3 linked regions of the Elephas maximus indicus genome follow. The protein of the gene in region 3 interacts with the protein of the main gene of each other region in a biochemical or structural test. Links are inferred from orthologs where the notes say so. Each region holds a gene or a part of one and is shown on either strand. Other genes may lie near its edges. The genes, in order: CYSLTR2, NET1 and DLG3.

Region 1 (10,143 bases), on a different chromosome or scaffold from region 3:
GGGTGCATAAATATTTAATATGGTTATATCTTTTTGGAGTATTGTCCCTTTAATCATAATATAGTGTCCTTCCTTATCCTTTCTGATGGATTTAACTTTAAAGTCTATTTTGTCAGAAATTAATATTGCCACTCCTGCTCTTTTTTGATTGTTGTTTGCTTGATATATTTTTTTTCCATCCTTTGAGTTTTAGTTTGTTTGTGTCTCTAAGTCTAAGGTGTGTCTCTTGTAGGCAGCATATAGACGGATCTTGTTTTTTAATCCATTCTGCCACTCTCTGTCTCTTTATTGGCGCATTTAGTCCATTTACCTTCAGGGTAATCATGGATAGGTATGAATTTAGTGCTATCATTTTGATGTCTTTTTTTGTGTTTGACAACTTCTTTTTCCCACTTGATTTTATGTGCTGAGTAGATTTTCTTTATGTGTTGTCCTTTCCTCATATTTGTTGTTGTTCATTTTGTTTCTGCTGAGTCTGTATTTTTCCCTTGTATTTTATTTTGATGAGTAGGATAGTTTGTCTCCTTTGTGGTTACCTTATTATTTACCCCTATTTTTCTAAATTTATAACTAACTTTTATTTCTTTGTATCGCCATATCTTCCTCTCCGTATGGAAGGTGTATGACTACTTTTCTTAGTTGCTCTTTATTGTCTTGATGTTGTCTTCTTTTATGTAATAACATTGCCATTACCCTGTGTTAGGCTTTTTTTTTTCAAATCTTGCTTTTTTTGGGGGGGGGTTTCCCTATCTGGGTTGACTTCTGGTTGCTCTTCCCAGTGTTCTAGTCTTGGGTTGATACCTGATATTATTGGTTTTCTAACCAAGGAACTCCCTTTAATATTTCTTGTAGTTTTGGTTTGGTTTTTACAAATTCCCTCAACTTGTGTTTATCTGGAAATTTCTTAATTTCACCTTCATATTTAAGAGACAGTTTTACTGGATATACGATTCTTGGCAGGCAATTTTTTTCCTTCAGTTTTTTAAATATGTCATCCCATTGCCTTCTTGCCTGCATAGTTTCTGCTGAGTAGTCTGAGCTTATTCTTATTGGCTCTCTCTTGTAGGTGACTTTTCTTTTATCCCTCGCTGCTCTTATAATTGTCTCCTTATCTTTGCTTTTGGCAAGCTTGATTATAATATATCTTGGTGACTTTCTTTTAAGGTCTACCTTATATGGAGTTCGATGAGCATCTTGGATAGATATCTTCTCATCTTTCACAATATCAGGGAAGTTTTCTGTCAACAAATCCTCAGCAATTTTCTCTGTATTTTCTGTTATCCCTCCCTGTTCTGGTACTCCAATCACTCGTAGGTTATTTCTCTTCATAGAGTCCCACATGATTCTTAAGGTTTCTTCATTTTTTTTTTTTTAATTCTTTAATCTGATTTTTCTTCAAATATTAGTGCCAAGTGATCTATCTTCGAGTTCAGAAATGCTACCTTCTACTTGCTCAGTTCTGCTTCTCTGACTTTCTATTGAGTTATCTAATTCTGTAATTTTATTTTTAATATTCTGAGTTTCTGATTGCTGTCTGTCTATGGGTTTTTCCAGCTTATTAAACTTTTCATTATGTTCCTGAATAATCTTTCTGATTCCTTCAGTTGCTTTATCTATGTGTTCCTTAGCTTGTTCTGCATATTGCCTCATTTCCTTCCTGATGTCTTAAAGGGTTCTGTATATTAAACTTTTGTATTCTGCATCTGGTAATTCCAGGAATTCACTTTCATCTAAAAGATTCCTGGATTCTTTGTTTTGAGAGCCTGTTGAGGTGATCATGGCCTTTTTCTTTATGTGACTTGATATTGACTGTTGTCTCTGATCCATCTATAAGTTATTGTATTAGTTTATGCTTGCTTACTGTCTCGTAGCTGCTTGCTTTGTTTTGTTTTGGTATACGCCTATGGGTTGCTTCAGTGAGCTAGCTTGATTATTTTCACCTTTGGAGCGCTGGTTTCCCTTCTCCAGCTGGCTAGAGCTGTTATCAGGTATATCAGTCTAGGAGTCCATTCAGTTTTCTTGTATGAATTCAGCTCAGGTTTCCAGGTAGCTGATGTCAAGTGTGTGGTACCAGCTCTGTCATACAGCCTTAGAGGGGCAGGGGTGATTGGCGTATATACCAGTATCTGATTGCAGCGGGGGCTCACGCTCTGAACAAGGCAGGGGGCTGAGAACTGACCCCCAAGTGTCTCTGAGGAAACATGTCTCTGTTCCCTAGAGCGTGCTGGTGGATGGTCTCTGCAGAGGGACCATGGGCACCCAAAGTTTTTGGTTGTAAGGACTGGGAGGTACCAGTTATCCCTGGACCCCTGTCACAGGTGGCTAGGCAACCCACGTGGAGCCACCAGTCCTCAGGTCCCTGTTGTGAGTAGTTGAGAACCTTGTTTAATAGGTAAAGCAATGTCAAATGTGAAACACCCACCTCTCCACTGCACAGCTGAAATGGTTGGTGTTTGCCATCAAGGGCCTATTCTCCCGAAATAGACCCACACAGTCCATGCAGAAGGGAAAGGTGCTCAAGGTCCATGGACAGTTTATGCCTGGACAGGAGCTGCTTCTGTCCTGAGCTCCCCCAGTTAATGGAGCTAGCAAATTATCTTTTCCCCCCAGTTGCAAATTTTTTCCTTCCCCAAGGCCAGGAGGACGGCTCCAGGTGCTCACCAGAGTCTATCTCAGGCCCAGGGATTCAGCCGCTGAAGCTGGGTTGGGGGTGGGGGGTGCAGTAAAATATACGCAAGTACTTAGCTTTTGCCGAGAGCGCCCTTCTCCTCAGGCTCTGAGGGTGTGAGTGGGCTGTGTGGCTGGCTGCTTCTCCCTGAGAAAACTGCAGCTGAACGCTAGGACCAGCCCGCCGCCACCGCTGTAGTCGCCACTCTGGGAATGGTGCCTGAGGGCTCCCTGTGATTCAGGTCTGGTAAGTCTTCTTTGCTTCTGATCGGTCTCTTCCTCCCTCTGCCCCTCAGTTCACTGTCTAAGCTTACCTTTGATGCTCAGGGTTCCCAGCTTGTCACAAATATACTGGTTTCGCTTGTTTTTTTGAGTCTTTTTTGTAAAGAGGGCTCGATGGAAGCATCTGTCTCTTCTGCCATCTTGGCTCCGCCTCCAAAGATTAGTTTTGATTTAAATGAATTTTTAATAATGCAAAATCTCCATAACTGCATGTCTCCCATAAAGTATGACTATAGTGTACCAAAAAGCTAGAGAGTAAAAAAGACTGTGGCCTTAGAGCTTAAAAGAACTGAATTGATGAAAGAATACTCAGATTGAGTATAAGTTCTCCGTATGAGTTCGGAGCAAAAAAATAAATATAAATTCCTCTTTTATACATCCTAGTGAATCTGCATCATAACAAGAATAATGAGGGAAAAAATTTAAAGCAAACTGAACCATTTTATGTTCCCACCAGCAACGAATAAAGGTTCGAATTTCTCCACATCCTCGCTAACCTCTGTTATTTTCCATTCTTCTTTGTTTGTTTTTGCTTTTATCTTAGCCATCCTTAGTATGTCTCTAATGGTTAATGCATCAATGGGCTCAAGCATAATAATGATTGTGAGGATGGTGCAAAACCAGGTAGTGTTTCATTCTATTGTACACAGGGTTGCTATGAATTGAAACTGACTAGACGGCACCTAACAATAACAACAATCATTAGATGTTGAACATTTTTTTGAAGTGCTTGTTGGCCTTTTGAAAATCCACTTTGGTGAAATATCTGGTTTCTCAAAAAGTTAAATGTAGAACTACCATATGACCCAGAAATTCCACTCCTAGATATATACCCAAGAGACCTGAAAGCAGAACATGAACAGATACATGCACCCCAATGTTCACTGCAGCACTATTCAAAATAAAATTTAGAGAAAAACAATAGAATCAACCCCCTCCTCAATTAGAATTATGTAAACATAAATAAAGTCTAAGTAAACTCCTGGCAAATGTGATCAAGAAAAAGAGAAGCCACAAATAAATCATATTAGGAATGAAAGGGTTTACTGTCAAGATTGTTAAAATTTTAACTAAATATTTTGAATAATTTCATGATAATGCATTTTAAAACGTTGATCAAATAGAGTTTTTGGTTTTGGTTAAATGTAAATTATCTAAAGTAACTCAAGATGAGTCCAGAAGGGATATTAAAAAACATTCACAATGGGTATAGGGATGGGGAATGATAAATCCAAATGACAAAAAAATGAGAACAGACAATTGCTGCAAATAACTGGTAGAGACTTACTGCTGGTAATGAATGACTGTCAAACCCAACCATATCTGTAATAGAAATTAAATCAGAAGCCAAAAATCTACACACCAAGAAAGCACTATGCTCAGAAGACTGTAGAAACAAGTTTTACCAAAACTGTAAGGAGCAGATAACTCTTTACCCATACAAACTGTTTCAGATAATAGAAAAAGAAGAATTACTTCTCAACTAAAAAAGGAGAGAAAGTATAAGAAGAAAAATTTGTATGTCAAGCTTAGGTATGAACATGAATGTAATTATCATAAGCAAAATATTAGGGAACTGAATTCAGCAATATGTGTAAAAAAAATCGTGACTTACTAGAGTTTATTTCAACAATGTAAGGATGTTTTAAGACATGAAATCCTATTAATTTAACACATTAAGAAAATTTTTAGATATACATGATTATCTCAATATATAACCAAAAAAGCATTCAATAAAATTTAGCATACATTCATGATTTTGATACAAACAAAAAGCACACTTAAGCTATTAGGAACAGAAGGGAATTTCCTTAATCTGGTAAAAGATATTATCAAAAACTTACCACAAACATCATACTCATCGGTGAAATATTAAAAGCATTCTGTTTAGGAAGCCAGCACAACTTGTCCAAGGCAAGGTCATGGAAGCTCCACAGACACATCCAGACTCCCTGAGGGATGAAATTACTGGTCTGAGAGCTGGGAACCATGGTTTCGGGGGACATTTCGCTCAACTGGCATAACACACTTATAAAGAAAATGTTCCACATTCTACTTTGGTGAGCAGCGTTTGGGGTCTTAAAAGCTTGTGAGCAGCCACCTAAGATACTCCACTGGTCTTACTCCGTCAGGAGCATGGGAGAATGAAGAAAACCAAAGACACAAAGGAGAGATTAGTGCAAAGGACTAATGGGCCAAAACTACCACAGCCTCCACCAGACTGAGTCCAGCACAACTAGATCTTGGTGCACAGCCAGCAAAGATCCTGGACAGGAAGTACAGGACGGTAACTCCACAGAGCTCGCAACAGGAGACAGAGCACCCAGTAACCAGAGAAACACGCTTTCCCACTCCTCATCTTTCTGCCCTGTATGCCACCCCCAGCCCTTCCTGACAGGCCACACCATGCCACTCAGCTAGAGAGCTACTGGCCTGCCATCATCTGGGTCCACCCCACCCCCACCTGATAGCTCTTGTCGTGCCATTATTTTTTCCTTTCTTCCCTTTCTTTCTCCCTCCCACCTAGCCCCATATGCCAACCTCACCCCTTCCAGATGGGCAGTGCTGTGCCACTCAGTTAGAGAGCTACTGGCCTGCCATCACCCTGGGTCTGCCCCACCCCACCCACCAGCTACTGTTGTGCAATATTTTTCTCTCTCTTCCCTTTCTTTCTCCCTCTTGCCTAGCCCCCTACACCACCCCAACCCCTTCCCAACAGGCAAAGCTGTGCCTCTCAGCTAGAGAGCTACTAGTCTGCCATCACTCCAGGTCCGCCCCAACTCTACCCACCAATTCCTGTTGTGCCATTTTTTTTCCTTTCTTCTTTTTCTTTCCTTTCTTCTTTTTCTTTCTCTCTCCCAGCTAGCCCTGTAAGACGCTTCATTCCCACTTCCACTGGCCCCAGGTACACCCCAAGCCCACACTCCAGTTACCCTTTCATTTTTTTTCTTTTCTTTATTTCCCTTACTTAGCCCCATACACCAGCCCCCTCTTCTTACTGGCCCTTGTGGTGCTGCCATGGCTAAAGCATGCTTGCCTCAGGCCCACCAATGCAATGGACTTACACTGCCCCTCCCATTTTGCCACCCAACCAGCTGCTGAACGAGTTCCTGTCTGACACTCCCACCTCTCTCGCAAAGGACTGTGAATGCTCTCACATCGCTGGACCAACACCAGGGGTAGACAGCACCCCCCAGTCTGCCCTCAGCACCTCACCAAACAAGTGTACAGCAAAGTGGGCTCACAATACATGCTAGTGCTCTGCCCAGCCAGACAAGGTGGTGACAGTTATTGTGTCCATGATGAGCAACTGGCAAAGCATGCCTGGCCAGCCCACCCTGACATATAAAAAAAAACAAAAACAAAGATCAGGATGAAACAAACAAACACACAATCAATAAATACAGAAAACCGTACCTTGATGTCTTGGAGGCAGCAGACAATACCAAAACATATAAAAAAGCAGGGCAATGTGGCTCCAGCAAAAAAAGAAAGAAAGAAACAGATAACCAACCAAGGGAAGACAAAGAATGGAACTACCTAATATGGAGTGCAAAAGACTAATATTTAGGGCTCTCCAACAGATTAAGAAAGAGATGAAGTAAAGCACAGACCAAACCAAAGAAAAAACAAACAAAATCATGGAGAACATGGAAAAAAAACAGGCAAAATCAGGGAAAACACAAAACAATAGAAGACTTCAGGAAAAAAAACTCAAGAACAAAACTTCAAAATGAATAAAGAATTAGAAATAATACAAAAACGGCAACTAGAAATCCAAAGATAACATTTCAGAAATTGACAACTCAGTAGAAGGTTTTAGGAGAAAATTTGAATCAATGGAAGACAGAATCAGCAAGACTGAAGACAAATACGTGGACGCTACTTTGAGGAGAAATCAGAGAAAAGAATGAAGAAAACCTAAGAATTATGAAGGACACAATCAAAGAGCAAAAATTTGCATGTGATCAGAGTTCCAGAACAGGGGGATAAAATGAAAAACATAGAGAAAATTGTTGAAAATTTGCTGGCAGAAAACTTCCCAAGTATCATGAAAGAAGAAAAGCTGACCATCCAAGAAGCTCAATGAACTCCATATAGGATAGACCCTGTGATGGTTAAGGTCGTGTGTCAACTTGGCTGGGCCATGATTCTCAGTGGTTTGACAGTTATGATGTAGTTTGGAAGCCATATGATGATGTGATCTCTTCCATGATGAGATATGATATAATGTGATCACATCAACAATGGGATCTGTTTGAATAGCCAGTCAAAAGAGAGTTTCCTTGTGGGTGTAGCCTGCATCCAATATAGGTGGACTCTGGCAAGATTCATGGGCTTTTGCTTCCTCTGGATCTTTCAGCTGGCTCCTGCTCATCTGACCTCAGATTCTTGGGACTTAAGCCAGGAGTTTACTTGCCATTTTGCCTGCTGATCTTGGGATTCATCAGTCTTTGCAGCCTGTGAGCAAGAGCCCTGCTCTCTGACCTGCCGATCTTGGGTTTGCCAGGCCCTGTGGCTATGTGAATGAGGAGAAGCCTCCATCATAACCCACAGACTAGGAACATTACAGCCTCCACAACCATGTGACCCATTTACTTGATATAAATCTCTCTATATAATTAAATACTTTACTGGTTTTGCCTTACTAGAGAACCAGCCTAAGACAGATCCCAAAAGAAACTCACCAAGACATATCATATTCACATTTGCCAAACCAAAGACCAAGAAAGAACTCTGAGAGCAGCTTGAGAAAAATGAAAAGTCACTTACAAAGGGGAAACAATAAGACTAAGCTCTGATTACTTGGCAGAAACAATGCAGGCAAGGAGACAATGGGATGACATATGAAAAGAAAGAAAAAAAAATGGCAAACAAGAATAATATACCCTGCAAAAATCTCTCAATTGCAATGATGTAATTAGGACATTTCTAGATAAACAGAATTTAAGGAAATTCATTAAAACCAAACCAAATTTTAAAACCATATTAAAGGAAGACCTTTGGTTAGAGAACCAACAACATCAAACAACAACTGGGGTCTAGCACACAGGACAGCATCAGACAGATACTAACCTAGGTAAAGAACTCTCAATAATAAAACAAGGCTAATAGACTTAAAACAGGAAACACAGACACCAGTCTGTAAATGACAACAATGTCAAAACTCTAAAAGAGGAAATAAACAGTGTAGGTACAGAACTTTCAAATGGAGGAGAAATTAAGGCAACATCAAGTAATAAAAGACTGTTTAAACTTAGGAAGGTAAGGGTAAATTTCAAGGTAACCATAAAGAGACCTAACAAACCCACTCATCAGAGGAAAAAGGAGAAAAAGTCTCAGTACACATAAAATGTATAAAAAGAAAAGAAAACCCACAAATCAACCAACTTGACCTCATAGATATATATATATAAAACACTCCACCCAACAGCTCCAAAGCATACATCTTTTTCTAACACCCATGGAACATTTCCCAGAATAGACCAAATTTTAGGACATAAAGCAAAGCTCAATAAAATCCAAAACATTGAAATAATGCAAAGCATTCTCTCTGATCACAATGCTGTAAAAGTAGAAATCAATAACATGAAAAACAAGGGAAAAAAAACTCAAATACATGAAAACTGAATAACACCTTGCTTAAAAAAAAACTGAGTAATAGAAGAGATCAAAAAGGGAATCAAAAAGTTCTTAGAATGAATGAAAATGAAAAACATCATACAAAAACTTTGGGACACAGCAAAGTCAACGCTCACAGTTCAATTTATACCAATAAATGCATACATCAAAAAAAGAAGAATGGGCCAAAATCAAAGTGTTAGCCTTACAATTCAAACAAATAGAAAAAGAGCAGAAAAAAGAAGTCCACAGCCACAAAAATAAAGGAAATAATAAAGATTACAGCAGAAATAAATGAAATAGAGAACAGAAAAACAATAGAAAGAACCAACAATACCAAACATTGGTTGTTTCAAAAGATCAACGAAATCAAAAAACCATCGGCCGAACTGACAAAAGAAAAACAGGAAAGGAAGCAAATAAAACAAATAAGAAATAAGGTAACAGACTCAACTGAAATAAAAAGGATCATAACAGAATACCATGAAAAATTATACTCCAACAAATTTGAAAACCAAGAGGAAATGGTCAATTTTCTAGAAACACTCTACCTACCTAAACTAACACAAACCAAGATAGGAAATCTGAACAGACCTATAACAAGAGAGAGAATAGAAGAGGTAATAAAAAGACTCCCAAAAGCAAAGCAGAAAAAAAAGTCCTGGCCCAAACAGCTTCACTGGAGAATCTTACTAAGCATTCAGAGAAGAGCTCATACCAGCACAACTCAAACTATTTCGGAACATAGAAAAGGAAAAGATATTCCCAAATTCATTCTATGAAGCCAGTATAACCCTATACCAAAGCCAAGCAAAGACACCATCCAAAAAAAAAGACCAATACCTGTCATGAATATAGATTCAAAATTCTCACCCACAGAATTCAGCATCATATCAGAAAAATAATACACTACAACCAAGTGGGATTCATACCAGGTATGCAAGGATGCCTCAACATAAAAAAATCAATCGACACAATCCACCACATAAATAAAGCAAAAGAAGAGAATCACCTGATCGTCTCAATTGACCCAGAAAAGGCATTCAACAAAGTTCAACGCCCATTTGTGATAAAAACTCTCAATAAAATAGGTATAGAAGTGAAATTCCTCAACATAATAAACGGCATCTATAGAAAACCAACAGCTAATATCATTCTCAACAGAAAGAGGCTGGAAACATTCCCCCTGAGAACAGGAAAAAGGCAAGTATGCCCTTTAACACCACTTCCATTTAACATTGTACTGGAAGCTCTAGCTAGAGCAGTAAGGCAAGAAAAAGAAATAAAGGTCATCCAAATTGGTAAGGAAGAAGTAAAATTATCCCCATTCATGGATGATATGATACTAGACATAGAGAGCCCAAAGGACTCCACAAGAAAACTACTGGAACTAATAGAAAGATTCAGCAGAGTAGCAGGATACAAGACAAACACAAAAGTCAGTGGGATTCCTACACACCAATAAAGGAAATCAGGAAAGCAATACCATTTATAATAACCCCTTAAAAAAATAAAATATTTAGGAATAAATCTAACCAGAGTTGTAAAAGACCTAAACAAAGAAAACTACAA
Region 2 (10,143 bases), on a different chromosome or scaffold from region 3:
CAGAACACTATTTCTTCTTTTGGCAGGTGTTGGGACTGTTGATCTGCTATATGACTTATGAGCAGAAGCCGGGGATCTGTTGTCACCACGAAGAGCAAATGACTTTAAAAAAAAAAGAGGAAAACAAATGAGAAAATAAGATTCGGAGGATACAGTAATTTTTCATTTTTTTAGAGCAAAGAGAGTCAAATTAAAAACAAAGTTCTGAGACTTTATCTATGCATTAAAAAAAAATTATCCAAGTTCCAATCTATCGTTCTTAAATACTTACCAGCCAAAATTACCTTTGGGGAATAAAAATTATCCAAGCCTATCCTCTGATATAAAGTGCAAGTTATACAAACATTGTTCTGGTAATAATATACCTTACCAGCATATTCCATAAAGAAAACTTATGTTTAAAAATAATAGTGCAAATCTGTTTACATAGCTCAATGAAAAATACAATGTGTAGGCCTCTATAAAAAAACCCCTTCATCACATTACTCCCCAACCTTTTTTTTTTTTTTTTACCTGTATTGTTTGACCAAAGCGCCTGACTGCTCCATTTCTTACAGGAGAGATTAAATTTGCCAAGGATGTGACCCGAGCTAGAGGTCGGACTCTTTTATTGCTTGGCTCCTGTAAAAACAAAAATAGGTTATACTAAATGTGTGTTTAGGCTCAATGACTTCAAACAAGTTTGGACAAAGTTAAGCCCTGTGACAAACAATATCTGCACATTATAAAATACAGAAACACAGAACTCTGAAAATGAATGTTGTTCTTCATTGTTAAAATAGTAAGAACACTACTGAGTAGCAATGATTTATTATAAAATAAATGGTAGAACATCAGTCAAATGTTTGACTATCACTGTGAGAGTATAACAAATATTATCATTAGCCGGGAGAAAGGCTAAAATTAAAACAAAGAAATTTGATTCTGAAATCCTATAAAACGTTTTAGTTTAATATAGAAAATTAACTTAAAACACTTTTATTATTAAAAATTTCAAACACACAAAAGTAAAGAGTAGCATAATGAATCCCACATACTTATCATTCAGCGTCAACAGTTTTTGGCATAACAATTTGTTTCATCTCTGCCTCTACTGGAATATTTTAGAGCAAACCCCAGACACTGTATCATTTCATTCTCAAATACTTCAGTTTGAGAATGGGTTAAAATAAAGATGTCTCACATTCGAATGGGCCGATTTGCAGGCAGTGAGACCCCTGTCATGGGAGGTGTTCAAGCAAAGGCAGAATACAGTGGTTAAGAGAACACTCAGTTTCTGGAATCAGACTGCCTGGACTCAAATCTTGGTTGTAGCACTTGCTAGGCAGTACCCTGGGCCTCAGTTTTCTCATCTGTAAAATGGAGGGTTAATAATCAAACTTCCCTTGTGAAGTTGTTGTGAAGATTAAATGAGATATGTTTAAAGGGCTCAGAACAGTGCTTGGCACACAGTTAGCTATTACTACATTCTTTCTTAGGGATATTTCTAGTACTTAAACACTGGAATTCATAATTTGATCCTCTCTCATGTATTTATTAACTTTAAAGGAAAAAGATACACAAATTCTGAAGAAAGTTATTATTCTACATGTATTGCTTTAAAAATAATAGTATAGCAAATATCACTTATTCAAGGACCTCAAAACTTACAAATGCCAGATCATAAAACAGATTTGTCCTTTATAATGTCTACAGAGTATTATCTGTTTGTATTTGGTGCCTTTGATAATCATGGCATAAAAAAACCCATTGCAGTCTAGTCGATTTTGACTCGTAGCAACCCTTTAGGACAGAGCAGAACTGCCCCATTCGGTTTCCAAGGTGTGCCTGGTAAATTCCAACTACTGACCTTTTGGTTAACAGCTATAGCTCTTAATCACTATGCCACCAGGGTTTCCAATGGTGGCATACATGATGAAATAATTCTGATGAGAATTCAGAAGGGTATATATTTTAAAATTATATAAAAATCACCATTTAAAAATAATAGAAGAAAATTTTTTTCTAAAAATTCTTTGATATGGTCAAAGTCATAAAAAGTTGACTTTTTAAAGGAAATAAAAGATAATCAAATGTTTAATACTAGACATTAAATGATTGATGAGAAAACTGAGTGCAAATGATTTCCCTGGAATAATTTAAGAATAAACTGGCAGAAAGAGTTAAAAGTCTTTGGAAAGAAAGAAATTTAAAAAATGATTCAAATAGCCAAAGTAGCAAAGCTTAGATTTATTAAAGCTCTTAAATATATACGTATATATTAGAAAGGATTATGAACCACTAAAGTAAGGAGACTTGCTAGATAATCAAAATGAACTCAGAACTCCGAATACCTTAACAGGCAGCATTTTAGACATCCCTCCCCGACAAAAAAGACAATTAACACCGAAGTAAAACCCTGAATATAAAGCCACTAATGGCGGCGCTCCTTGGAAACTCTATCGGGCAGTTCTATTCTGTCCTATAGGGTTGCTATGAGTCGGAATCAACTCGACGGCAATGGGTTTTCAATGTGCAAAAGGAAACCCTGGTGGCCTAGTGGTTAAGTGCTATGGCTGCTAACCAAAAGGTCAGCCACCAGGTGCTCCTTGGAAACCCTATGGGGCAGTTCTACTCTGTCCTATAGGGTCCCCATGAGTCGGAATGGAGTTGACGGCAACAGGTTTGGTTTTCGAGTTTTTAATGTGCAAATATTAAATGAATTGAAAAAGAAACCTTCAAAATATGTAGTAATCTGACACACATGGTGACCAAGGACATGTGTGAATGCCTTTACAATATACATCTGTACAAGACTGAAGTGACACATGCATGTGCAGGAGGGCTAACATAAGGCATTCCTTTCTATTTAGTAAAGACAGTACAAACAGTCTTGTTTGAGTGGAGATATAATTACCTCACAAGGTAAGATATGCCAACATTAACTACAAACAAAGCAGTTGTCAGAAAGTTCTGTTCCTCTTTTTGGAAACAAAGGTTTAAAGCATAACATATTTGACTTCTCAGTAAGTCACAAAATATTTAATTTCAGTTTAAAAGTCTTTGGAGTGATGCCTCTCCCAGTGAATTTGATAGGAAAAATTAGTTCAGCTGGGAGGAAAGGGTTTTTTTTTTTTTTTTAAATCTATTATATAAAATCAAATTAATGATAAAAAATTCTTATCTTTATTGGATCAGTTACTGTATAATTACTGATTTCTTGGTAACTCAAAATTATGTGATACTTAAAATGAAATCTACAGAATTTGGGTTGAGATAATAAATATAAATATATCCAAAGCAAGTTTCTGAAACTAATATGGATTTTGTTTATGTTGTTTCTTTAGGGTGGCAGGATATTATGCTAAGCAGTATTTGGTGGTTAAATATTTCCACAGTCCTTTAAAAACCCACCCATATCTCATTTCTCCAGAAAGGATATGTTACTCTTAAAAGTTCATCTAATTCAAAATGTCTTGCTTGGTAAGAAAGTGTGGTATTAAATCAGGAAATACCAGTGGGGGAAGGGGAAGACTTTCCACTTTTCCAACTTGCTTTTGGTGATCCAATAGCAACTTTCCTGCTTTACTAAAATGGCACATGTGGAGATTTTTTGGCAGAAACAATACAAACTGTTAGTGTTAATATTTCAAAAGCATAAACACTTTTAATGAATAACTTGAAAAGTGTGATGGAAATGTAAAGGCATAGTACTGGATATGGATTACAGCACAGTATACTACTAAATTTCAGGATATGTATACTACCTGAAAAAAAAATTATACAGAAAATTTTTGTGGAAAAGTGATACAGATTAGGCAATCACGGGTTGCCTATAAGGTTGGGATAAAAATTCCCAATCTTTTGAAATACAGGGTAGGATTTGGTTCATGTGAACTAAAACCAAAAATAGTTTTTCTTCAGAAATCCAGCTGAACTATTTTAACTATCTTGTTTTAGTTACTAAGAACTTAAATATTTGCATTGTCACAAAACACATTTCTAAGAGACTGTTTTTAGAGAACTGCACACACACACACACACACACACACACACAATGCAGGTACAATAGTTAGAGGTTATAAAAGAGCAGGGGTATATCCGTCCTACCACCACCAAAAGTAAAGATTATATAATGTTTCTATTGTTTTTATTTTGGAGCACTGGAAACAGTGCTATGGATATTCAAACTATACCCTCTCCTTAAAGGACAATCTGAACGTTTTTGAAAATAAAGAATACCAGCATACTCAAGAAACTTTCTACTGTAGGTAACCTTTCACCAGGGCTAAAGTTTACTTGGAAGGGAAGCATAAACCCAACACCCTTAACAAATTCATGTTGATTATTTAGGTTAACTTTTAATCAGACTATCTAGTTTAGCTAGGCAATCACACACATTATTATAAGAAATCCTGCCTTCAGACCGGGTAACTAATTAATTACACAATCCAATTGTTGTTCAGATTTTATACCTTAAAATATTTTTTGAACATCTATATACGGTAAATTGTTAGGATCAATGTAAAATCTTTTATTGGAATGTACCCTTCATGTCAATGCAACAACACAAAAAAATTCTGCCATGACTTCAGCATCTTGTAAAAAGGTTTTTCTTCTAATAATGATGTCACTTAAGAGGGCTTATTTTAGGAGGTTTTTCTATAGTCAATTAAATCAAGACATTTAAAAAAGACAGTACGTGTCTAAGTTTATTTGTTTTGGATTACAAAATGAATAATTTTCCTTAGTACCTGGCAAGAAGTTTAAAATAAGAAGAATGAAAATAAAGGCTATTTTTAAAAAAATAAAAATGAGTTATGATAGGATTTCTTCCCTTTCTACTTAGTAAGAAGGGTAATAGGAATATTCAAGTAAGTCATTTCTTTAAGGCTATGTTACCAGTTCTAAAAACCTGACAACATTTCTGGTGTTTTTAATCTTTTGAATACAGCTGTGCCAGAAACATGGCCCATGTCTAATACCAAACAAAAAAGACTGCCTCTTGATGGGCCAAAAGATGATTATCAGGTTCAGTATTTACACTGATGACCACGTACTTGATTTGCTTAATATAGACACATCAAGAAAACCAAAACCTAAGTAAGCAAAAAACAAAACAATAACCAAAGCCAAACCACGCCAAGTAAAAGCGTACCTCCTAAACATGGCAGCTACTTTAGCTACCAAAAAGTATATGTTGTACATATATGATAAACAGTTTTATTCAGGTATGACTAACATACAACAAACTGCACATATTTAAAGTATGATTAGGTAAGTTTTGAGTAGGTATATACCAAACCACCACTACAATCAAGATAGATACATAGATGACTGAATACAGAAACACTGTTTCTAACATAAGTGATGATATATACCACATAATATACATTGCAGTATATAAATTAATACAATACCGTATAGTATTAAATTAACTGTAAAGATTACCTAAAATTGTATAAAAAGCATTTGATTTACTTTGATAAATGTTCATCAAGATTTTTAAGAACTATAATGACTTCAAAGTATTTAAATAATGATCATGTGCTTAAATGTTTTAACGTATCTTTCTTTCTGAAGAAAACAAAAGCAGCACACAATGAACTTAATAGATGTGGAAAGAAAAAGCAAAAACCCACACCAGGTCAGATAGCACTTTAGTTGCAATTTATCCACTAGCATGAACTTACAAGGAAGGGATTCTTATTTTTCTTCTTACCCCATAAAGCAGTTCCTAAGGCTAAGCAAATACGATAAAAAAATATATATATATATATACTTTAAAAAATATATATATATAGAACATCAGAAAAGTGACCAATTTAACCAAACTGAGCAGCTTATATACTTAAAATCTTTTTCCTTTCGCATAGAAGTTTCTGTACACTCAAGCTATACCATGTAATAAACCTATACCACAATTCCTAAGCACACTTCTCAAACTTGGATATAATCAAAGTCATACATATTAACACTCAGTAACCATACTTAAATTGTTAGATCAAAAGTTTAAAATTATACTGTTAATAAATTGTTAAAAATCTTAAAAGTTTCATGGAGTTAGAAAACATTCCTTTTGCCTAATTTTTATTTTAAAGTCTTACCTCTTGTTCTCTGAAGGACTGATTATTAACATCTAGGACTCGAATAGTTCTTTTAATAGGTAGGAGACCTCCAATCTCATCATGCGCCACCATGCTTTACCGAGTATTCCTTAAAATCTTTACAAGTGATCCACATCCGCGTCAGCTCTGCTGACTCGGATCACTACTGAGTCACACAGGCTTTTCTTTTGAGTCCTCACCCACCCTTGGCAGCCATTTGCCCATGTCTCTTCCTTGTGGTGGAACTAACAGCTTCTGAGAGCTGGGGTAAAAGCACACAGACCTCAAGGCTCTGTAGGCGGGGCCAAAACAGCGAACTAGCCTTAGTGGGCGTGCACCTAGGGGGTCACGTGACGCGAGTTAACTGACAGCTGTGGCACACCTAGGCTTCTCCGTTTTCGCTGTGGAAGAGAAAGCTCTTTATCGATAGGTTTGGAATTTCTATAGTAAGAAAATAAGAGGAGAAGGGAAAAGGAAGTTGGGTTAATGTAAGGCAGAAGCTTTTCTTCCTGATTTAGAAAGCATTCCCAATGGAGAACTAATTGCTTGTTTAGGTTATCTCATCTAGTTTTAGTCACAGGCAGGGATACTTTTCCCATAAAAACCCTTTCACCTAGGAAGAAATTTATTATGCACAATTGACAACTTCAAGCAAGAAAGTAGGAATTCAGAGTTAAATAACTGTATAGGCTAAAGAAAAACCTAATTACCCAGGCAACTTGCTTTTATTTTACATAAGTTGCAAACATATTCACAACTGTAAAATTGCCTGCCCTTAGAAAATGGTTCCCACTATTTTTTCGTAAGACCAGCAGGGTAAATAAAGTTTACTCTATTCTTGAAGTAAATCTCCCATAGGGTTATGGGCAAAGCATAACTGGGTTACTTTGGAGGATAAAGTTCAGTATTTCTTAGACTTAATAGTAGGTATTTTTTCTGTATGTTTTTAAAATTTGATATCTGTATACTAGATGTTATAAAAATACATAAAAGGTGATTTGTTCTAAAAATATATAACAGAGGTCTTTATTCTGAACTAACCAATCTTGATAAATTCCTAATAGAAATCAAAAGACTTACTTAAACTATCTTGCATTTTACACAGGAAGAAATGAGCCTCACAGAGAAGTTACCTGCCCAAAGTCATATACTAGTGACAGTTTCCACATTTCTAGTCTGAATCCGTTTCTCTATGGAACAACATGATTTCTGTTGCTCTGGTAGGTCTGCTATGAAGCAGATTTTCTTCTTTAACACAAAGTACTGTATTCTATTTTGAAAGGTAAGATTTTAACTTAACTGTATATTACTATGAATGACCTGATGCCAGTGTTTCACAAAAAATGATTTTACTTCTATTCTTAGGATTGGAGAAATCTACGAAAAAGACACTGTTCTAGATACTGTGGTTGACATATATATATATATAAAAGGTTTTATATCTGATCCTAAGTGCTAATACCATTGTGGATAGGCCACATGAAGATATAACTAATACAAGACAGCTTTTCAGCAAGGGAAAAGCGCAAGGCTCCAAAGTAGATTGAGTGAGTAAACTCAAACTGTGAGGTAATGGGCTGTGCTTAAAAAGGAGTAGGTCTTAGTGAGCAGGTGAGAGAGGTAACGAAAGTCATGCTGAAAGAAGAGACATATGACTAGTGTTTGAGGTGGTCTGAAAGATGATTGGCAGCAATGCAAAAATCATAATCAGGTATCAAGAACTTTACCTAAGGTAGGACATCAGGAAGGAAAAGGATACATGCAAGAGACAATATATGCAAGAAGTCAAAGAAGCTGAAGATTTTAAGATGGGAGGGGCAACTGTTTATGAAAATAATAAGAACAAGTTTTGAAAGAAAATTGTTTCATTTTAGATATACTTGAGTCTGAGGTGATGGAAGAACAGACAAATGAAAATACTCACCTAGATGTTAGAAATGTTGGACAGGGACTTGGAAGACAGGCAGATTTAGGCAGAAGAGAGGTAGAGTTAGGCTGAAGAGTCAGCCACATAGTAGTGAGAGTTGAAGCCTTGGGGATGAAGGAGATGCCTGGGAGAGAAAATCTGGACAAAAAGAGCAAGAGACCTAATTTTGGATGAATGGTCTCATGGACTGAATTGCATCCCCCTAAAATATATCAGCTTGGCTAGGCTATGATCCCCAGTATTGTGTGCTTGTCCTATTTTGTGATCTCATTATCATTCATTTTGTGATGTGTTGAAAATCCTAGTCTCTATGCCTATGGTTATGGTCCATTTGGGAATAAGCTGTCCATCATGTTAATGAGGCAGGATTGTTGTTGTTAGGTGCCGTTGAGTTGCTTCCGATTCATAGCAACCCTATGTACAACAGAACGAAACACTGTGCCATCCTCAAAATCATTGTTATACTTGAGCTCATTGTTGCAGCCACTGTGTCAATTGATCTCGATGAGGATCTTACTCTTTTTTGATGACCCTCTACTTCACCAAGCATGATGTCCTTCTCTAGGGACTGGTCCCTCCTGACAACATGTCCAAAGTATGTGAGATGAAGTCTCGCCATCTTGCTTCTAAGGAACATTCTGGCTGTACTTTCTCCAAGACAGATTTGTTCATTCTTCTGGCAGTCCATTCAGTATTCTTTGCAGTATTCAAAGGCATCAATTCTTCTTCGGTCATCCTTATTCACTGTCCAGCTTTCACATGCATATGAAGTAGCTGAAAAGACCATGGATTTGGGTTAGGCGCATGATAGACCTCAAAATAACACCTTTGCTTTTTGACACTTTAGAGAGGTCTTTTGGAGCAGATTTGCCTAATGGAACATGTCATTTGGTTTCCTGACTGCTGCTCCATGGGCGTTGATTGTGGAACCAAGAAAAATGAAATCCTTGACAAATTCAGTATTTTCCCTGTTTATCAGGATGTTGCTTATTGGTCTAGTTGTGAGGATTTTTGTTTTATGTTTAGGTGCAATTCATACTGAAGGCTGTAGTCTTTGATCTTCATCAGTAAGTGCTTCAAGTCCTCTTTGCTTTTAGCAAGAAGTTTGTGTCATCTGCATGTTGCAGGTTGTTAATGAGTTTTCCTCCAATTCTGATGTTGTGTTCTTCATATAGTCCAGCTTCACAGATTATATGTTCAGCACACAGATTGAATAAATTTGGTGAAAGGGTACAACCGTGACACACACCTTTCCTGATTTTAAACCACGGAGTATCCCCTTGTTCTGTTCAAACAACTGCCTCTTGGTCTATGTACAGGTTTCTGATGAGCACAATTAAATGTCTTGGAATTCCATTCTTTGCAGTGTTATCCATAACCTGTCATGATTCACACAGTCAAATGCCTTTGCGTAGTCAATAAAACACAGGTAAACATCTTTCTGGTATTCTCTGCTTTCAGCCAAGACCTATCTGACATCAGCAATGATATTCCTCGTTCCATGATTCCTCAATTATGTCACGTTAATGAGGATTAGGGTTGGATGCAACACCCTTACTCAGGTCATAGCCCTGATCCATGTAAGGGCAGTTTCCCTGGGGTGTGGCCTGCATCACCTTTTATGTTATAAGAGACAAAAGGAGAGAGAAGTGAGCAGAGAGAGAGGGACCTATTATCACCAAGAAAGAAGGGCTGGGAGTGGAGCATGTCCTTTGGACCTGGGGACCCTGTGCTGAACTTCCTAGACCCAGGGGAATATTGATGCCAAGACACATAGGTTCTCCAAGGAATGCTGGGCCCACAAATGATGAAAGGACGCAAGGACTTTCCACCAGAGCTGACAGAGAGAGAGCCTTTCCCTAGAGGTGGCGCCCTGAATTCGGACTTCTAGCCTCCTAAACTGTGAGTGAATAAAATTCTGTTTGTTAAAGCTATCCACTTGTGGTATTTCTAGCAGTACTAGATAACTAAGATAAATGTCAAGAGAAAAGAATTAACAATTACAAGGAGAGAAAGCAAGAATCCAAGGGAAGAAAAGGTGTTAATTATTGAAAATAGGTTAAGGAGGGTAAGGAAAAATTCATGAATTTAGTGATCACAAGTTTAACAGTGACCTCAAGTGTGGAAGTT
Region 3 (10,143 bases):
AGTTTTTTCTGAGCACTAGTCCTCTGCTCCGTCTTAACAAGGGGTATGAACTTCTTCACCACCAAAAACCGGGGGGCAGGGGCTTCAGGCCAGGGACAGAGCTGGATGGTACATACTGCTGGCGTAGTCTGGGGGTGCGTACATGTCGTTGAGGTGCAGGCTGCCTGGCTTGGCCACCTTCAGATAGACCATATCTGATGTGTTTTTCAGTGAGGCCACAGCTTCCTCATGCCTCACATCCTGCAGATTGGTGTTGTTCACCTAGAAGATGGGAAGCCTTAGGGCCAGCCTTGGGAGAAGGAAGGGCCTCTCCAGGGAACCCTGAAGGATGGCCTTTCAGTGAAATTCAATAGTGCTACCGGAAGTCCAAGTATAGTGCTGTAAGGACCAGAGAGGCAGGAGGTAGAGGGTCCCCCCAGCCATGGAAAGAACTAGGGTCTTGGTGTCTAGGTAAACATAACTCAGACGATGCTCTTGAAACTCCTCATGATGCCTGGTCCCTGAGTGAAGTTTACGTGGAGTAAGAGGGTATTGGAGCTTCACCTCCTCACCCTACCGTTTGGGCATCCTGATGAAGGCTGTCTTACCGCCAGCAGCCGGTCCCCAATCTGCAGGCGTCCATCCTTCTGGGCAGCACCCCCCTCAATGATCTTGGTGATGTAGATGCTGTTGTCTCCTGGGATGTGCTGGTTGCCAATCCCCCCAGCAATGCTGAAACCCAGGCCTAGGTGGGAGCCAGCAGGGAGTAGGAAGGGGTCACAAGGAGAGATTAGAGTGCTCATTCAATCCCAAGTCCAACCCCCCCCCCCCCAGCCAACTCATTGGCCTCACAGGAACTCCCTCAGGGGTCCCAAACATTAGGCCAGTAAGGGTGAGACCTGAGGCGAAGAAAGAAGGCTGTGAGTTGAAAAGGGGAATCAGGCAAGGAGTAAGGCCATTCCCTTCTAATTCCTACATGGCCAGCCAGCCAGGACCCAGGGCTAGGAGCTCTGGTCAGAGCACAGGAACCCAGACAGCCGCACCTTTGGGCCCTTTGAGCAGGTTGACCTCCATGATGGTCTCTGGTGGGGGCTGTCGCCTCCGCACCACCAACCGCACCACAGGGCCTGCCTCCTTCAGTGCCTCCACGGCTCGGCTGTGCACCACCTCTGACACGTCCACCTCATTCACCCGAAGCACACAGTCATTCACCCTGCAGGGGAAGCCGAGAGGCACAACACTATGCCACCGCCACTCCACCCCCTCTCCCGCCTTCTCCCCTCCTCTTCTCCTCTCTCCCTCCCCTTCCTCCTCTCTCCTGCACCTCCCACTGCCCCTCCCCCTCCCAGATCTGATGGAAGGGTCATCTACCAGTCGGGCCCTCCTCCCCTCATCTTCATCCTGTCCCTGCCGCCCCCACCCTGCTTCCAGGCCACCTCACCCCAGCCTCCCGTCCATGGCAGCTGCTCCACCAGGGATGATCTTGGTAATGAAGATGCCAGGGTCATCTGGGACATGGGGGTTGTCGATGCCACCCGCGATACTGAAGCCCAGGCCGGAGTTGCCCTGCAGAAATGGGTGGAGGGGCACAGTCTATTCACTCAGAGGGCATAAAGGAGAATTTCTGGCACCCATCTTCCCCAACCTCCTAGGGGAGGTTCTCCAGGCCTCAGAAGGGCCATGGCAGGGAGGGTCAGATTTGTCACAAACCTGGTGGCTTCCCAGCCTGTGCTGTCCATTTTGGCATGGAGGCCTCAGCAAACCCCATTCCATCCCCAGTTCCCCAGGCCTCAGTGAGCAAGGTCAATCAATATTTGTTAGTAGATTGATTCATGCAGTGATGCAGCCTCTGAGGGCCGCTGTTTCTCCATCCGCTCAATGCAGGTCCTGCCATGAGTCTTAAAGCCAAGGTTCAGGGCCCTCCCCTCTCCTGGCTCGCACCCTCCCTTCCCTCCTGTCTCCTTCCTACCGGCAGACTTACCCGCTCGAGTACTATCTCCTCATACTTGAACATGCTATCACTGCCATTCACCTAGGGGAAAACACAGGCAGTTCCCTGAGTGCTTCCTGACCTTCCTGCCCCCTGGCCAACCTGCCTTCCCCCCACCCCACTCCCAGCAGAAAAACTGAAATCCACCCCAGAGCACCTCTTGGTCACAGATAGGAACAGGCTGACCCCGAGGAAGACACTCCTCTCCCCTTGCTTCCAGCCATGTCAGGCCAAACCCGGCTGCTTGTGTAGCCCAGATCAATTGCCTGGGACTGAGCTGGCCAGTTGTGCACTCATCAAGAGGCTCGGCTCTAGGGCCTCTGAGTTCACTAGGAGGGGTGCAGGGATGGCCTGAGAGGGATAGCAGAGATGGAGCATGGTGGTCGGACCATGCCATACGCAGCATCCACAGGAGACACCCAGTGACCTGGACAGGGACCCTCCCTCCCCTTCTGAACCACAGCTCTCCCTGACTTGGGGATCATAGACTCCTACCATGTCAGAGATGGAAGAGCAGCAGATACCATCTTGTTTCAGCTCCCCTAGTTATTACAGATGGTGACACTGAGGCCCCGAGAGGACATGGGATATGTCTAAGGGCACACTGGGAATCAGTGGTAGAGCTGCAGCAAGAACCCTGATCTCCAGGTGCCCTTTTGATTAAAGCAGGCTGCCAAAGCTACTGATTTTTTGGTCACACACCCCTTCCCCCAGCAGAGCTCGTGGGAAATCAGAAAGTGGCCTCCTTCAAAGCATCTCATAACCCCTCATTCTATACCTCTTTCTTTGTCCCCAGGAGCCCAATTCCTCATATGGGCAGAAGGAGTTAAAGTCCTAATCCATTTTCTACCAAGGGGATTTTGATCCTGAACCCTTCATGTCTCCCAACAGAAAGGGCCAGGGCAGGATCTGGTCAGGAGTCAGAAGCAAAACCAGGGGAGGTACAGGGGCAGAGCGAACAAAATTCTCCATGAGGGAGAAGCTGATGGTCCACAGACTGACTGGAGCAGACTCTGTGGCCTTCAACATGCAGTAGCCATGGGAAGAGAGGCAAAGGAAAGGGGTGGAAAACAATGGGTTGGTCTGATCAACCCACAGAGGTGGCCTCCCAGACAGTACACACATGTGACCATTTATCAAGTGAAAATGTGATTCTGGACAGAGAAATAACACCTGCTTCCTGGCTCCAACTCTCATCCTCAAGAATGGAAGAGGCATGACTAGCAGCCCTCTTGCCTCTTTCCCCAGGTGTCCCAGCACCCTCTCCTCCCATCTCTGCCCGCACTGGCCTTTGCCTGCCCCCCCCCCCACCCCCAGCATCTTCCTCAGAAAGGAGAACTGGAAAGAGTGGGCAGTGGCTCCTCTGTCTGCCCCAATGTGTTTTCTCTCTCCCACCTCTACCCCACACAGCTTTGGCTTTAAGAAGCAGAGATCATGAGAGGGGGAGAGTGCTGGCTAGTCATGTCTCCACTGTTTCTGGGCCTGGCCCCAGGACTTTATGCCCTGCCCTGGGAATTGGTGGGAGGACTCCAGCTGCAATCCCACCCTGGTCTCTGATTCCAGGAGGAAGAACTGATGACCCTTCAGAGACCCACAACCATGCAGACAGACACACAGGCCAAAGGACACTCGTGTGGCTCTTGTATGTACCCACATCTGACAAGCCATGCCTCGAGCCCAGCTCATGTGGGACCCAAAGGCTCCCACCTCCCACTGGCCCACCCTCCAGTTCTTCCCACCACACTCAGAGACTCTGCTCCCAGGACCAGGCGCCATCCAGGGATCAGCCCTGGCAAAAAAACCTTGACCAACTGACCCAGCCCTGGGACTGGAACTCGTTCCCTGGCTGGGCAGGACAAATATGAGAGGGTGTTCGCAAGGGGAGGGCTCCAGGGCAGAGGGGCAAAGGAGGGAGAGAGACTCACTGGAGAAGGCAAGGGTCTAAGACAAGGGACATAGGAAGCGGAAAGTGTGGACAGACAGAAGGCCAGAACTGAGGGCTCCTTTCCCCAGGAATTCCCCCCTCCCCTTTGCTTTTGAGCAAGTGCACATCCTATCTCCAGAGGAGGATGGAGGGCAGCCAGAATGGCCACCAGCTTGGGGCAGTCAGCCACTGCACTCGATAGCGAAACCTCCTTCTTCTTTCTCCCCACCCTGGGGGCTGCAGAGCCAGATAACCAGACAGGCCCTCCGCCATGCATGCCAGGGACCTGGCTCTGCCGGCCCAGCCTCCATTTTGCTGCTTCTCCCACAGATGCTCCTTCCATTTTCTAAGCTGGCAGTTTAGGCTGAGAGTGGAAGCCGGAGTTGTGCCCGGCATCCAGGGGTCTCCCAAACTGTGCCAAATCGGGGCTGGGGTGCCAAGCTCTCTCACATCTGGGAGTATCCAAGGGGGACATGTCCCACTGGGTCCAGTCCCTGCACCAGGGCAGCTGCCCCTTGCCTGGCTCCAGGCACCATGCCTAGTCTGGAGCAAGAAAGCTTGCTTCAGTCCCCACCCCCCCCCCCCCCCAGCACACACACACTTCAGAGCTGCTTGGACAAAAGAGTCTGTCCTTCTCAGCAGCCCCTCAGCCTTTCTTGGGACGTGCCTCTTGCCTCCTCCTCCTCCTCCCCTTCCTTGCCTGTCAAGTGCCTCTCACCAGGGACACCACACACACACACAGAGGCACATGCATGCACACATTTGTAGCCACATGCTCACACATATACATATACCAACACACATAGGCAAACACAGCTATTCCCTCAGCCTTATCTACAGAGACACCTCCACATCCAGAGAGGCGTCCCACACGTCCATGTGCACATTCACACACAAAGGGACTGGGAGGGAGAGGGACTCATGGCACCAAGGGATGCAGCTCAGCGAGCCAGGCACATGGGCTCCTCTACATACCTTCACAGAGGCTCCGTTGCCTTCCTCCACACATCCCAACACACACACACACACACACACACACACACATGTTCCCTCTATGCAGAGCACCATGCCCCCTCCTCCCCTCCTATGGAGACACACACCACACACAGCCCCCGCAGAACCTCCCGCCCCCTGCCAGACACAGAGACACTGCTGAACCCCCGCACTAAGACAAACCCAATTCCCCCACACGGGAAAATTTGCCCCTCCGCCATATCTCCACTCCCTGACACACAGCTCCTCCCAATCCCCTCCAAATGGAGACCCCCCCCCCAGCAGACACACAGAGAACCATACGTTTCCAACTGCCTCTCTTTGCCCAGCTGCAATGCTAGGGCTCAGGGTCCACGGGCTTGGAGCCCCAGCTCCCTCTGCTGCACCCTAGGCCTCTAGGCCCCCACTCTCCAACCCTCATAGGTTGCCCTTCCGTCCCCCTACACCGCTGGTCCATACCTGTTCATACCAGTCCCGGTTGGTGCAGGTGCACTCAGGCCACCAGCTGGGGCCGCTGCCGTTGAGTTTGGGGGTGCTCTTGCCTGGGGCTGGCTTGGGGGGCACTGGCCCCACATCTCGGCCAGTGGGGATGAGCTTGGCCTTGGTGCGGGGGGTGGGGGTGGCCCCCGCCTGCGAGGGCAGGGTCTGGGAGCTGTAGCCCCCATAACCTGCGCTGGCCCCATTGCCCCCACCTGGACCGTAGGGGTCTGGCACCTGCCAGTCTCCATAGCCAGGAGGCTCGAGGCGCCGCAGGGCGGCCAGGCGGGTCACCTCGTAGCACTCGGGGCACTTACAGCAGTGCTGGTGCTTGTGCATGGCACTGCCCCCCGCGGCTCGGACTCCCCAACCCACGCTGGCTTCCACGCCGCCGCTGCCAGGCTCCCGGGCACACTCGCACTGCTCGGACCAGGGAGGGGGGGGCACCCGTGGGGGCGCCCGGGCGGAGCGGGGCCTGGGGCCGGGCGGGCGTCCCGGGGCCTCTGCCCCCACGCTGCCCCGCACCCACGGCTCCCCCTCCAGCACTGGTGGCTCCGTGTCGCCCGTGGTGGCTCCTGGGCTGAGGCCCAGCGGAGAAGAAGAAGAAGAAGCGGGAGCCGGGGTAGAGGCTGGATGTGCGAGGACTGCTTCTGCTCTGGTCCCCAGGATGGATCGGAGTGGAGTCTAGAGCATCTCTCCCTGGCTCTCTTCTCAGTTGATTCCAGCCAATCAGGGCGTAGAGTCAGGCAGCGGCAGCAGCGGCGGCAGGAATGCTAAACAGCGGCTCCTTAAAGGAACAGAAGCGGTGGCGCCCCCAGGCTCAGCTCCAGCTCCCCGGATCTTGGGAGTACCGTCCATCTTCGGGTGGGGGCGGGGGGCTTAGACCATGGGTTAGTTCAGCCCTCAATACCTGCCCCTACACCCCGATTTCAGCCCGTCTTCCTCCCACTCCACTCCACCCCACTTCCAAGAAAGAGTTCAATGGGTCCCCGGGCTTGCTCTGAGTTGGGGCCACTAGAAGTAAAGACTTGAGGCAGCAGGACAGACTGAAAGGACGTTGGAGCAGGGTGAAGGAGGTGCTGCTCTCTCTTACAGCAGACCAAGCAAGAGGGCAGCATACAAGGCTAGCACTCTTGCCAATGCCTCCTCCTCAGGACTATTGTTCTCTCAGCCCCTGGGCCCTGAAATGACCAGGATCTCACACTTGACCTTCTTCCATCATCAGTCAGGGACTCAGCTCTAGATAAGAGAGGAAAGGAAAGCAGTAAGCCTTGTCCCTGGCCCACAGGCTCCTATCTCCTCTACCCCACCCCCATATGGTTATGGTGGGAGAAAGAGTTTCAGGATCCCAAGAAGAAAGAGAATCCAAGACAGGAGGAAAGGTAAGAAGACCTCTGAAAGGAGAGAAACAAGTCCGTGGGTCTGGAGAACTTGGGAATACCCGTCCAAGGACATCTCCTCAGCCTCTCCTGGCTTAGCCTGTTGGGGGATGGAGGAAGGATGACATGCTGGGGGCTCTATCTTTTTGTTGTTTTGTCTTTAGCTACCAATTATTGAGTGTTTGTAAAGTCCTAAGTGCTTAATGGCAAACAAAAAGTCTACCAAGGTGGTACTGTTATTATCTTAATCTTACCAATGAGAAATTGAGGCTCAGGGAGGTTAACCTAGCTAGAAAGTGACAGAATCAAAATTCAAATCCTGGTCATTTGAGTCCAGAGGCCATGATCTGAACCACTCTAGTATAATAGATCTATTCTAAGTTCTTCTGCAGAACTTGGATCTCAGTTCAATTGAACAAACATTCGACCTTGACCTAGGTACAAAAGATACAGAGATTCTTTGATTATCGAGCGCCTGCTATGTGCCAGACAGTATTTAAGGAGCTGGGGATATAGCAGCAAACAGAGCAAAACAGACAAAATCCCTGCCCGCTGGAGCTTACATTCCAGTGAGAGGAGACAGACAAAAAGAAGTACAATAAATAAGTGAGTTATATAGTATAGATGGTGATAAGTGCTACAAAAAAAGAAAAAGTAGAGCAGAGTAAGGGGGACTGGGAGTGCTAGGGGAGGACACTGGGTTATGATATTTTTCCTTCAAGTTTTTAACATCAACATTTTAATGTGAAAATTTTCAAACACAGAGAAAAATACATTTTACAGTGAACACTCAATTATCTATCAACTAGATTCTACAATTAACATTTTACTGTATTTGCTTTATCACCTACCTATCTTCCACATATCCTTTCCAAAAATTTTTAAATGTACATTTACAAACATACAGAAAAGTTGAAAGAATACTGTAATGAACATCCGTATACCCTCCTCATAGAGTCAACAATTGGTAACGTTTAGTTATATTTGTGTTTTCTCTCGGCGTGTCTGTCTGTATAGATAGATACATAAACACTTTTTCTGAACCACTTTAAAGTAAATTACAGACTTCATTACTCTTCACCCCTAAATGCATCTCTTAAGAATAAAGACATTTTCCCAAATAATCACAATATCATGATGACGCCTAAGAAAATTTCATAAAAAAAAAAAAAAAAAAAAAAAAAAAAAATTTTTTTTTTTTTTTTTTAGTGTCCAGTCTGGAAACCCTGGTGGCATAATGGTTAAAGAGCTCAGCTGCTAACCAAAAGGTCGACAGCTCAAATCCACCAGCGCTCCGTGGAAACCCTGTGGGGCAGTTCTACTCTGCCTTACAGGGCCACAATGAGTCGGAATCGACTTGACTGCAATGGGTTTGTTTTTGTTTTTGTTTTAATGTCCAGTCTATATTAGCATTTCCCAAAATTTGCCTTTCATATCTTTAAAAATCAGAACCCAATTAAGGTTCTCACACTGCATTTGTTTCTTTAATCTCTTTTAATCTAGAGTAGTCCCGATAATCTTTTAAAACTTTTTTTATTTTGAAATAATTATAAATTTACAGGAAGTTGCAAAGAGAGTACAAAGAGATCCCATGTACCTTTCACCCAGTTTCCCCTAAAGATTAAATATTACTTAATTATAATAAAATATCAAAACCAGAAAATTGACATGGGTACAATGTGTGTACAGTTTTATGCCATTTAATCACGTGGAGATTCTTTTAGCAACCACTGCAATCAAGATACAAAACAATTTCACCACAAAATTTATTAGTTTAGACATTTACCAGGTTGAATGTGGGAACCTTAACTTCCTTGAAGTTTTTTTTAACCTCTCCCATTTTTAATATGGTTGTGATAAATATTTTCTCTACAAACATTGAGATCTATATCAGATGATGTTATACTTTTTGCTTCAACCATAAAGGTAATTTAGACAACTCAAGAGGAAAAGGAAAGTCTATTGTATTTATCCATATTTTTGCTCATTCTGTTGATCTTTTTTCCTTTCTGATGTTTCAAGATTCCTTCTTTTATCATTCCCTTTGTTCTGAGAACTTCTTTTAGCCCTTCTTTCAGGATGGTTCTGCTGGCGATGAAATTCTCTTAGTTTTCCTTAGTCTGAGAATTCTTGATTTCCCTTTCATTTCTAAAGGACGTTTTCACCAGATATAGCATCTGGGGCTGACAGTTACTTTTTTTCAGCACTTGAAGTATGTCCTGCCCCGTTCTTCTGACCTCCGTGATTTTTGATGAGAAATCCACTGCCATAAAAATTATTCTACACCTATGGATGAAGAGTCATTTCTCATTGCTTGCAAGATTTTCTGTTTTGTTTTGTCTTTAGTTTTCAGAAGTTTGACTCTGATATATTTTGGGTGGATTTCTTTGAGTTTAACCTCTTTGAGTTTCACTCAGGTTCTTCATTTTATAGGTTGATGTTTTTTGCCAAACGTGGAAAATTTTAGTCATTATTTCTTTTTTTTAGTGTGCTTTAAGTGAAAGTTTACAAATCAAGTCAGTCTCTCATAGAAAAATTTATATATACCTTGCTACATACTCCTAGTTCCTCTCCCCCCATGAGACAGTACACTCCTTCTCTCCACCCTGTATTCCCTGTGTCCATTCAGCCAGCTTCTGTCCCCCTGTGCCTTCTCATCTTACCTCGAGACAGGAGCTGCCCACATAGTCTTATGTGTCCGCTTGAGCCAAGAAGCTCACTCCTCACCAGTATTATTTTCTACCTTACAGTCCAGTCCAATCCCTGTCTGAAGAGTTGGCTTTGGGAATGGTTCCAGTCTTGGGCTAAAAGAAAGTCTGTGGACCATGACCTCCGAGGTCCCTCCAGGCTCAGTCAGACCTTTAAGTCTGGTCTTCTTACGAAAATTTGAGGTCTGCATCCCACTACTCTCCTGCCCCTTCGGGGGCTCTCTGTTGTGTTCCCTGTCAGGGCAGTCATCGGTTGTAGCCGGGCACCATCCAGTTCTTCTGGTCTCAGGCTGATGTAGTCTCTGGTTTACATGCCCCTTTCTGTCTCTTGGGCTCGTAATCGCCTTGTGTTCTTGGTGTTCTTCATTCTCCTTTGCTCCAGGTGGGTTGAGACCAATTGATGCATCTTAGATGGCCACTTGCTACCATTTAAGACCCCAGATGCCACTCACCAAAGTGTGATGCAGAATGTTTTCTTAATAGATTTTATTATGCCAATTGACCTAGATGTCCCCTGAAACCATGGTCCCCAGGCCCCCGCCCCTGCTACGCTGGCTTTCGAAGCATTCAGTTTTTTCAAGAAACTTCTTTGCTTTTGATTTAGTTCAGTTGTGCTGACCTCTCCTGAATTATGTGTTGTCTTTCCCTTCACCTAAAATAGTTCTTGTCTATCTAATTAGTGAATACCCCTCT

What was found.
Region 1: the proteins of DLG3 (region 3) and CYSLTR2 interact in a test that uses a peptide from one of them, tested with the Homo sapiens proteins (2 studies listed by IntAct, with this or other methods). The link is inferred for Elephas maximus indicus from reciprocal best matches to the Homo sapiens genes DLG3 and CYSLTR2.
Region 2: the proteins of DLG3 (region 3) and NET1 interact in a test that uses a peptide from one of them, tested with the Homo sapiens proteins (2 studies listed by IntAct, with this or other methods). The link is inferred for Elephas maximus indicus from reciprocal best matches to the Homo sapiens genes DLG3 and NET1.

Annotation. Positions count from the first base shown.
Region 1 is NC_064832.1:30,342,102-30,352,244, forward strand, and holds the start of CYSLTR2 (cysteinyl leukotriene receptor 2), read right to left. Parts: upstream 5,554-10,143; 5' UTR 5,496-5,553; intron 4,902-5,495; 5' UTR 4,794-4,901; intron 1-4,793. UniProt on the Homo sapiens protein: Receptor for cysteinyl leukotrienes. The response is mediated via a G-protein that activates a phosphatidylinositol-calcium second messenger system.
Region 2 is NC_064822.1:53,565,221-53,575,363, forward strand, and holds the start of NET1 (neuroepithelial cell-transforming gene 1 protein), read right to left. Parts: upstream 6,354-10,143; 5' UTR 6,180-6,353; coding exon 6,087-6,179; intron 622-6,086; coding exon 514-621; intron 103-513; coding exon 1-102. Other genes in the region: neuroepithelial cell-transforming gene 1 protein-like, read right to left, coding at 8,077-8,151, 8,767-8,787. UniProt on the Homo sapiens protein: Acts as a guanine nucleotide exchange factor (GEF) for RhoA GTPase. May be involved in activation of the SAPK/JNK pathway Stimulates genotoxic stress-induced RHOB activity in breast cancer cells leading to their cell death.
Region 3 is NC_064846.1:99,501,691-99,511,833, forward strand, and holds the start of DLG3 (disks large homolog 3), read right to left. Parts: upstream 5,715-10,143; 5' UTR 5,703-5,714; coding exon 5,346-5,702; intron 2,012-5,345; coding exon 1,961-2,011; intron 1,546-1,960; coding exon 1,421-1,545; intron 1,193-1,420; coding exon 1,023-1,192; intron 725-1,022; coding exon 588-724; intron 262-587; coding exon 117-261; intron 1-116. UniProt on the Homo sapiens protein: Required for learning most likely through its role in synaptic plasticity following NMDA receptor signaling.